2 linked regions of the Saccharomyces cerevisiae S288C genome follow. The protein of the gene in region 1 interacts with the protein of each later gene in a biochemical or structural test. Each region holds a gene or a part of one and is shown on either strand. Other genes may lie near its edges.

Region 1 (6,515 bases):
GAGATACTATTTATTCTCATAGTCACGGCGGTTCAGGAATTCCGTTCTCAAAAAGGTACATCAAAACCGGTGCCGATTTAGGCGCTGGAGCAGGAGGTTCTGTCAAATTAGCTCAAAGAATTTCAGATAACAAAATATTTGCAGTGAAGGAGTTTAGAACTAAATTTGAAAATGAATCCAAAAGAGATTATGTCAAGAAAATTACATCAGAATACTGTATTGGTACAACTTTGAATCATCCCAATATCATTGAAACAATTGAAATCGTGTATGAAAATGATAGAATTCTCCAAGTTATGGAATATTGTGAATACGATTTATTTGCTATTGTAATGAGTAATAAAATGTCCTATGAAGAGATTTGTTGTTGCTTCAAACAAATACTTACTGGTGTACAATATTTGCATAGTATCGGCTTAGCTCATAGAGATCTAAAGCTAGATAATTGTGTTATAAACGAAAAAGGTATTGTAAAATTAATCGATTTTGGTGCTGCTGTGGTATTTTCATATCCATTCTCAAAAAATCTTGTGGAAGCAAGTGGAATTGTTGGAAGTGATCCATATTTAGCACCTGAAGTCTGTATATTTGCGAAGTATGACCCACGTCCCGTAGATATTTGGTCTTCTGCAATCATTTTTGCATGTATGATACTGAAGAAATTTCCATGGAAAATTCCGAAATTAAGGGACAATTCATTCAAACTATTTTGTTCCGGACGTGATTGCGACTCCTTAAGTAGCTTGGTTACAAGAACTCCTGATCCACCTTCCTACGATGAATCGCACTCAACAGAAAAGAAAAAACCCGAAAGCTCTTCCAATAATGTATCAGATCCTAATAATGTTAATATCGGGCCACAAAGATTGTTGCACTCATTACCAGAAGAGACTCAGCATATTGTTGGACGTATGATTGATTTGGCGCCCGCATGCAGAGGAAATATCGAAGAAATCATGGAAGATCCTTGGATCCGTAGCATTGATATGTGCCACTTGGTTGAAGATGGATTATCGTTCAAAGTGGTTAGAGGAGAAGACCATCATCACACACAAGTGGATCAAAGTGAAGCACATATTGCAGGCCTAGAAAAGAAAAAGAAAAAGCAAAATAATCAATAAATAAGCGTCCCCACTTTTATTTCTTTTCCAAGCATTTGTATATAACCTTTTTTTATCCTATTTGAGTATATGTTAAAATACAATGTCATATTTACTTCTGTTAAACTAATTTCATATTTTACCGTTCTATAGAAGCCTAAATAGATTGACCTCCTGTTCATAATCTACTATTTTATCAGAAAAATGTAAAAGCTTAGTATGATAATAATTAATGGAAAAGTTCGTTAAAATATCGCGCCACTAATTAATAATAATGAAGCGGGTAACATTAATTGTCTTACCAAGGCGACAATTCCCTTTTCTAAAATTTCACAGCAAAGAAGCTTTAGAAAGTGCAGTAAATCTACAACTCATAAGAAGGAAAAAAAGCGTGAACATTCAAATCGACAGCGTAACCTTCTGTATTTATTTCTGTTTGTTGTACTTTCGAACTCTCGAATACCATAGAGGAACTATTAGTCTCCATAATGTCACAGGCAGCAAAAAACGTGATAGTAAAGCTAATAGTAGGAGCAGGCCAAGCGGCACCATCACCTCCCGTGGGGCCCGCATTGGGCTCCAAGGGTATAAAAGCCATTGACTTTTGTAAGGAATTTAATGCAAGATCAGCAAACTATCAGCCAGGTGTACCGGTTCCAGTATTAATCACAATAAAACCTGATAGAACATTTACGTTTGAAATGAAATCTCCACCAACCGGATATTTGCTGCTAAAAGCTCTTAAAATGGACAAGGGACATGGACAACCGAATGTGGGGACAATGTTAGGCAGTGCACCTGCCAAGGGACCAACCCGTGCTTTAGGAGAGTTATCGCTGAAGCACGTTTACGAAATAGCCAAGATAAAAAAGAGTGATGAAAGGCATAGTTTATTGGAGATGGAAGGTATTGTTAAATCAATAGTTGGCGTTGCAAAAAGTATGGGTATTAAGGTTGTACCTTGATCTGTAAGTAGTGAAAAGACAAAAAAGTACCGTCAATTTCGAGAAATTTTCAACAGACCTTCCTTCTTCTTTCTACTGATCTATTCTGTAAATATGTATATAAGTTTTAAATTCTCTTTCTCCCGTTATGTTAGCAAAGCTCGGTAGTACTGAAGCTATTCTGAGTAAACGCTTCTCCAACTCTGTATACTGAGAGTTGTTTTATAAGTCAATAAAGACCGGATATTTATATGTATATATTGATTTGGTATAATAAAAATGAAATGCTAATAAAAATGCCTATGAAAAGAGGAAAATCCAGGAATATCGAGTTTTTTCATTTGGTGAACTTCCTTTTTTTATTTTTTTTCCATTTTTTTCTGTTATTTTTCTTGCTATTAATCTTCAATGGGCGGTTATTTGGTTCGTTAACAGCCTGTTCCTGTTTGGATTTAGAGGTAACATTACCAGTGGCCATGGCAGATTTCGCCAATGGCAATGGAACCGATTTTGGAGTTAGCCTCGTGTATAGGAGATAATATGCGTTGGGTTCCTTTAAAACGTCCCTTTCAGATATTATATTAATATACTCGTCGTCGTAAGTGGCCCAGCTACCGTCTGGTTGCTTGCAGTGGGCAATGTAGTGACCTGAAGAAAGGGAGCGGCCCTCATGAACCACCACGCTTAATAGTTGGTATTTGACAGGTAGCTCTTTACTCTCACAATATTCCGTCAAATCTAAAAACATAGGATAAGAAACAGCTTGCTTCATTTTTGATGAGGACGTGCCATTGAATCTGAATTTTTTCAGATGCACAAGTAAAGTTTCAGGAGCCCTTAATATTGAACTATGCTTCACGGCGTTCGTGGTCTTGTGACACTTCTCACAAACGTAACCCTTTTGCTCCTTGTCAACCTTGATTAATTCGGGATTGAAGAAATCTTTAATTGATTTTTCAATAGAAAATCTGCGGTTGGCTGAACTTAAATCACTGGCAGCGGCAAATGGTGAGCCATTGTTTAAATTGACAGATGAAGAGGATGAAAGAGATGGTTTTGTGGCAGCATTGGAGGTAGTGGTAGAAGTGGTGGCTGAAGTGCCGTTAATGCTATCACTCGACAGGTCAGAATTTGGATCAAGTTTTTTCTTCCCTTTCAAGTGCAACGATAAATCGTAAAATGGTTGTTCTGTTTTAGATATACTGCCACAAGATTTGCAAGTAACGATCTGCTTTAAAAGACCACCGAATATGTCATATATTATCGATTCTATAAGTTTATGACCCTTGGGAACAGAATCTTCCTGTAATCTTGACATCAGAGACATGAAGTACTCATGTGAATCTTCCTGCTGCCATTCGCTCATCATACAATTAATGTCATCCAATCTGGAAATCAAATGTTTTGGATTAATGTAGGAAGCTGAAACGTTCTTTCTAGGGTTTTTTGAGACCGGTAACCACATTTTTTTACTTGTTTCAGCTAAAGTATAGGAAACGGAATTTTTTGAGATGGTGCTATCGTATTTCCCCATTAGTATATCAAAAAGATAATGTTGTATCGAAGGAATGTGTAACATAGCCTGTACAGCAGCATTTGTGTAACAAGTAACACCATGATTCAAAAGGCCACGAGGCTTCAAATTGGTGAATTTGTCGCCCCAATTTTTAACAATTCTAGTAGAGTTTAAAGAACCACGATCATTGATATTTTCATTGAATTGGTAAAAGTTTGATAGATTTGATATTGTAACCGGAGGGGTGATTGACCTAGATTTATGTTTCAGCTCTTCTTCCTCTTCTTCCTCCTCCTCTCCCTTTGGATTCCTGTTTCCATTTTCTTTGGTGTTGTTTACTGGTTCGTACCGATTTACTTCCACTGTACTATTTTCCATTAAATCTTGATATAAACTCTTTTTTTCGCCTTCAGAAATTTTGGAGCTGGAATCGTTCTCCTCTTCTTCAGGGAGCTCTTTTTCCATAGCACTAGAATCATAATCCATGTCATCCTCATCCTCGTCGTCTTCTATTTCGTCATCACTGCTAATGCTTGTAGACAGTTCCTTTCTTTTTTCCTTTTCATTCTCATTAGATGAATCATCAATGGTTGCTAATGGAGAACCCAAGTTTTCACCAATGTCTTCACCAATGTCTTCACCGATGTCTTCACCGATGTCTTCACCGATGTCTTCGCCGATGTCTTCACCATCGCCCTTATCTGCGTTGTCGCGTTCCTTCAAACTAGCTTTTCGGGGTTCTACATAGTCTCTTGCCTCATGAAATATTTCACCCTCTTCCTCTTCCTCTTTTCCTACTTTGTCATCTTCCGAAGAAGAGGAAGGAGGCTCCGTAGAAAGCTCCGTAGAAAGCTCCGCTGACTTCTTGGCACCAGTAGCATCTGCAGCATCTTTATCATTTTTAGAAGTATACAACAATAAAGCTTCAGCCATAGATTTAGGAACAGTGTTGGTTTTCTTTCCGTTTGGCCTGTCTATCAAGTTATTTTCTTTTATTTGCTTGGATTCGGCCGTTGCAGCAATAGCTGTGCTATTACTATTGTTATTATGCTGTTTTCCTATCACAATATACGAGCTATTTTCCGGCGCGGCGGAAGTATCATTATTATTCGATTTGTTAGAGATCATTGCAGCATTGAACTGCAGGGGATTTGATAGGATTCTATCTACCAAAGGTTTGATCGATTCTTGAGTGGTCATAGTCTGTGATTGTGATATGACAATAGGACGGATTTACAGATACTATGAGTTGTAGATTCTTTCCGTTAGTTTTTCTATGAAATATTATGTGCAGTACAGAACAAAAGAGGCTTCAGACACTATGCATGCTCCTGTGTGCAGTATATGATGCTTAATAGCTTCTATGAAACAAATAAAGGACAGAAGCGGGGATGGAAGACTCTGTTAATGCTTTACAGGGAAGTTTTTCCCGATGGTGGCACTATATAAAAATAAGAACTTTTTTCTTTTCTTTTGGGGATTTTTTTCGATGCGAAAAAAATTTTTTGACGGCATGAGGCAAGAAGTGAACAAAAGAGGTGGTGTCTGGGGGATGCAATTTAACTTCTTACTTGTGCGCGTTCATCGGAGAAAGCTGGCCGGGTGATACACGAATACGGGTTTGCCGTTTTTAGCCGCCGAACCTGCATAATGAAATTGTGCCCCCATGAGATAGGGCGAACAGTTCGGGATCCCCAGGACAATTCTTCACTACCGTGGCAGGAATAGTAGAATCAAGGTTAGTGCGCCACTCTGACTCTGGCGGGATAGACGTGATTAGTGGGTCTTCAACACTATTGTGTGAGGGAACACCTCCAAATTCCACAAGGTCTCGACCCCAGTTCAATATTGTTCCCTGCGGCGTCCCCATACTTAGTCCGTAAGCCGTATCTATATATGCCTTCAACTTTGCAGAGTTGTGGTGGATCCGAAACGGTAGGCGCAATACGTTAAGCTCGTGCTGCAGGTTTCGCCGATCGTAAATACTAATCGCGTCACTGTTGCGTCTGACAACGTACACGTAACGCCCGTTATCGCTTGTAAGGATTTGTACAATCCCACCTGCAACTGTGCGGGTGTAGTTCAGTCTCTCTAGTCGTTGATGACGGCAGTCTACCTGAAACATTTCATTCGCATAACTGCCACACAATAGAGATCCTCTTGAGAGAGCTTGCCCTCCCATTGGTTGCTCTTCAAAGCAAGATATAATGCTTTGTCTTCCCTTGCTTGCTTTTTTGGTACTCTGGTTCATCCACACGGCATCTCGTCTGCTCTTGTCGTATATCGCCACTTTGTTACGGCATGAGCCAGTGTATACACGAGACTCAACATCGATTTTCACACTGTATACAGTTTCGTATTCTCCATTTATTTTGTTCATCGTGTCATAGCTGAGGATACACTGCCCGTCCATCAAAGAGTATAGTTGTAGAGGGAAGTTTTTTCCTCCAACCACGATTCTGTCACCAGCTAACCTGTCGGAATTCTCGTTATAAAGCGTGTAAAACGGGTCTATTGCACATGAAACAATAGACTGGTTTCTAAAAAACCTTGTAAATGGTAGAAGGAGGTTTCTGTTTAGCTTGTCCGTATTACTTTCCTCCGGCACTAAATATTGTCTGATGCCAAAATCATTATGCACAGAAACAAACGATGTACCATCACATGACCAAAAGATATCTTGACATATTACCTTCTTTTCCATTCTGAAGTCGTCTGTCATATTGATATATGGTGATTCTCCTAGTCGTGGATACTCGTATCCACTTCGATCACTTTGAGTCCTTTTTAACCATTCCTTATCTTCTCTTTTCCATACATTCGCTATCGTGTCAGCCTCGAACACTTCGCCAGTGTCGCAATACGGAATTGCATTCATTCTTTCATCATTTTTTCTATTCAAGGACTCATAATGCCCTTGTACCATCTATGTTTATGGAATATGCGGTCTGTCCA
Region 2 (3,164 bases), on another chromosome or scaffold:
ATGGCGTCACAAATTGAAAAAAAAATTAAAAAAAATAAGACGGACACATTTGCGACGCCGGTGAATAAATGCATATAAGTAGTTTATAAGCTAGCTACTACTCAGAAATAATTTCAAAAAAAAAAAGAAGTGGGCACTTTAAAATGAAGATTAGCTATAGTAAATTACTGTAGTATAACAACTACCTGCTATCTTTCTGAAAAAATCAGGCAATGTAAGGTCAAACTTGTACCATCGACATATATAATGTTTTGAGATATAAGTAACTAGAGACCAGTTTATACAGGATCTTACCTCTTTTTACCGTTATGAAAGCTTTATTACTGCGTTGTTAGTAAACACACATATTATTTTCGGGTAGTCCTGTCGATGTTCCAAGGCTTTGCATTTATCATTGTTTCCGCTTCATCGGTGGTATTAGTTAGTGTATCTGTATGTGAAGTATGTGGATAGGTGCTTCTATTATTGGAACAAAACACCTTAAACGCGCACTAGGTTATAGGAAAGGGTCCATTATTCAAAGAACGGCTTATTGAAAAGTATGTTGTAAAGCTCGGTCATATCGCGCATAGCCACGATAAGGCGTGGTGCTGCTTCATAGATTGAGAGGCGCAGTCAATACACAACCATACCGGTAGTTTGATAAATGATACTATCATTCCGGAAGCTCTCTAGTAAGCTGTAGGTGGCATATACGGTATCTATCATCTAGTAATAGCTATTGATTTTTTTCTCGACTATGCTATATGTGTTGTGATGGTTCACTTAGAAGTGAAAAAGTAGCAATAAATTAGACAGACAGAAGTAATTGAAGCTACATTCAACAACATGGCTAAGTAAAAAAGCGTAGAATATCATGATGGGTTTTTTTATCTTTTAATTGCTTTCTATGTAGTATAATGGACCGATCTTTGCAAGTATATATCTGTATGTATCCATATTTAGATGGCAGCAAGCAATATAGATTTGATGAGCTTATATCATTTTATCGTCCTTGTCCAAAAAGTCTTGATAACATTAAAAGTCACTACCGTCAAATCCATCATCAAATCCGCCGTCGAACCCACCAGCATCATCAAATCCGCCGTCGGACCCACCAGCATCATCACCGTAGTAATTGTTCTCGACAACGACAGTGTCTGGTCCGTCATAGTTGTGGTCGTCAAATGCGTGTTCTAGCATAGCTCCACCTAACAAACCCGCACCAACACCAAGTAAACCACCCATCATGGCACCGCCGTGTCCACTACCTTTACTGGTGCTTGGCGCAGTTCCATAGTATGCTTGCTGTGGTGCTGCTGCTGGCATAGGGGCTTGTTGAGGATAGTAACGCTGCTGTTGAGGGTATTGAGGGTACTGAGGCTGTTGAGGCTGATAGTAACGAGGTTGCTGTGCTTGGGCCCCTGCTTGCACTTGCGGTGTTGATTGAGAAGAATAAGGTGGAGGAGCCTGGTCTGCCTGTTGACGAGAACTCTTCTCATTGTTAACACCTGGTGGAGGACCTTTGGGTCTTGGCCATGTTGTTCCCCTTGGTGGTTCCCACTGAGAGCTGTTCGTAGATAAATCTACATAATACCAAGTCTGGTATTCATCATCAAAAACAGCCTTCCAGCCAGAAGGCACTTGAGGAGGATTACTTTTACTTTGAGCCATTACTTTAAAATGTTTTGGGTTTTTTTATCGACTCTCTTGTAGTGAGTGATAAAAGCAATTCAGAAAGAGTCTTTTGATTATCATGACTAAAGTAAACTTTTTCTTCCAGCTGCCGGCTCGGTCAGGTGGACGAAACAAAAAAGCCTGTTGAAATAATACTGAATACGTTAAAACGTCACAGCGCTTGTATATCTTGTGAGAGAAAGGCTATTACCACTGTTATATGAATATAGATTGCTCAACAAAGCGTGTCTTTTTCTGTGTGCTTAAAATATAGTGTCTTTTTTGGGAAAAAAACGTTTATTTACAGTATTCTCTTCTTCTTCTCCTCATTCAACTTGTTGCGGTTCGAAGAAAATTACGCATAAAGAATCAAAGAAAGGCAAAAATTACGCTGTACGATGGGGTCGTTTCCCTTAGCTGAGTTTCCATTACGTGATATCCCTGTTCCTTATAGCTACCGTGTGTCTGGCGGTATAGCTTCCTCAGGTAGTGTTACTGCGCTTGTTACTGCCGCTGGCACTCATCGAAACTCGTCCACGGCTAAGACAGTTGAGACAGAAGACGGCGAAGAAGATATCGATGAGTATCAGAGGAAAAGAGCAGCTGGTTCTGGCGAATCCACTCCTGAACGCAGTGATTTCAAAAGGGTAAAACATGATAATCACAAAACCCTCCATCCAGTTAACTTACAGAACACCGGTGCAGCGTCTGTGGATAATGACGGTCTGCACAATTTAACAGATATATCCAACGATGCAGAAAAACTTTTGATGTCTGTGGATGATGGTTCTGCCGCACCTTCTACATTGAGTGTAAACATGGGAGTGGCATCTCATAATGTTGCTGCTCCCACTACCGTCAATGCGGCAACAATAACTGGCAGTGATGTTAGTAACAATGTTAATAGTGCTACTATTAACAATCCTATGGAGGAAGGAGCGCTGCCGTTATCACCCACTGCTTCCTCTCCAGGTACCACAACTCCTTTAGCTAAAACTACGAAAACTATCAACAACAATAATAATATCGCCGATTTGATAGAATCCAAAGATTCTATAATCTCCCCTGAATACCTTTCTGATGAGATTTTCAGCGCAATAAACAATAATCTCCCTCACGCATACTTCAAAAATTTATTATTTAGATTAGTTGCCAACATGGATAGGAGTGAACTATCCGACTTGGGGACTTTAATCAAGGATAATTTAAAGAGGGACCTAATAACGTCTTTGCCTTTTGAAATAAGTTTGAAAATTTTCAATTATTTGCAATTCGAGGATATTATAAATTCCCTTGGGGTCTCCCAAAATTGGAACAAAATAATTAGAAAATCTACATCGTTGTGGAAAAAACTTCTGATATCGGAAAATTTTGTGAGCCCAAAGGGTTTTAATTCTCTCAATCTCAAACTCTCCCAAAAATACCCAAAACTCTCACAACAAGATCGCCTTAGATTATCTTTTCTGGAGAATATATTCATTTTAAAAAATTGGTACAATCCCAAGTTT

What was found.
Region 2: the proteins of UBP10 (region 1) and WWM1 interact in a test that uses a peptide from one of them, tested with the Saccharomyces cerevisiae proteins (one large-scale study listed by BioGRID).

What each region holds. Positions count from the first base shown.
Region 1 is NC_001146.8:287,743-294,257, reverse strand, and holds UBP10 (ubiquitin-specific protease UBP10), read right to left. Parts: upstream 4,761-6,515; coding exon 2,382-4,760; downstream 1-2,381. Other genes in the region: serine/threonine protein kinase NPR1, read left to right, coding at 1-1,121; YNL184C (uncharacterized protein), read left to right, coding at 1,375-1,701; mitochondrial 54S ribosomal protein uL11m MRPL19, read left to right, coding at 1,589-2,065; SWT21 (Swt21p), read right to left, coding at 5,191-6,264. UniProt on the Saccharomyces cerevisiae protein: Deubiquitinating enzyme involved in telomere and HM loci silencing, which is the repression of chromatin structure which leads to a stop in the transcription of nearby genes.
Region 2 is NC_001138.5:114,091-117,254, forward strand, and holds WWM1 (Wwm1p), read right to left. Parts: upstream 1,654-3,164; coding exon 1,018-1,653; downstream 1-1,017. Other genes in the region: AUA1 (Aua1p), read left to right, coding at 900-1,184; SCF ubiquitin ligase complex subunit CDC4, read left to right, coding at 2,055-3,164. UniProt on the Saccharomyces cerevisiae protein: Involved in apoptosis. May play a role in nuclear function controlling cellular proliferation coupled to mitochondrial biogenesis. Causes impaired growth when overexpressed.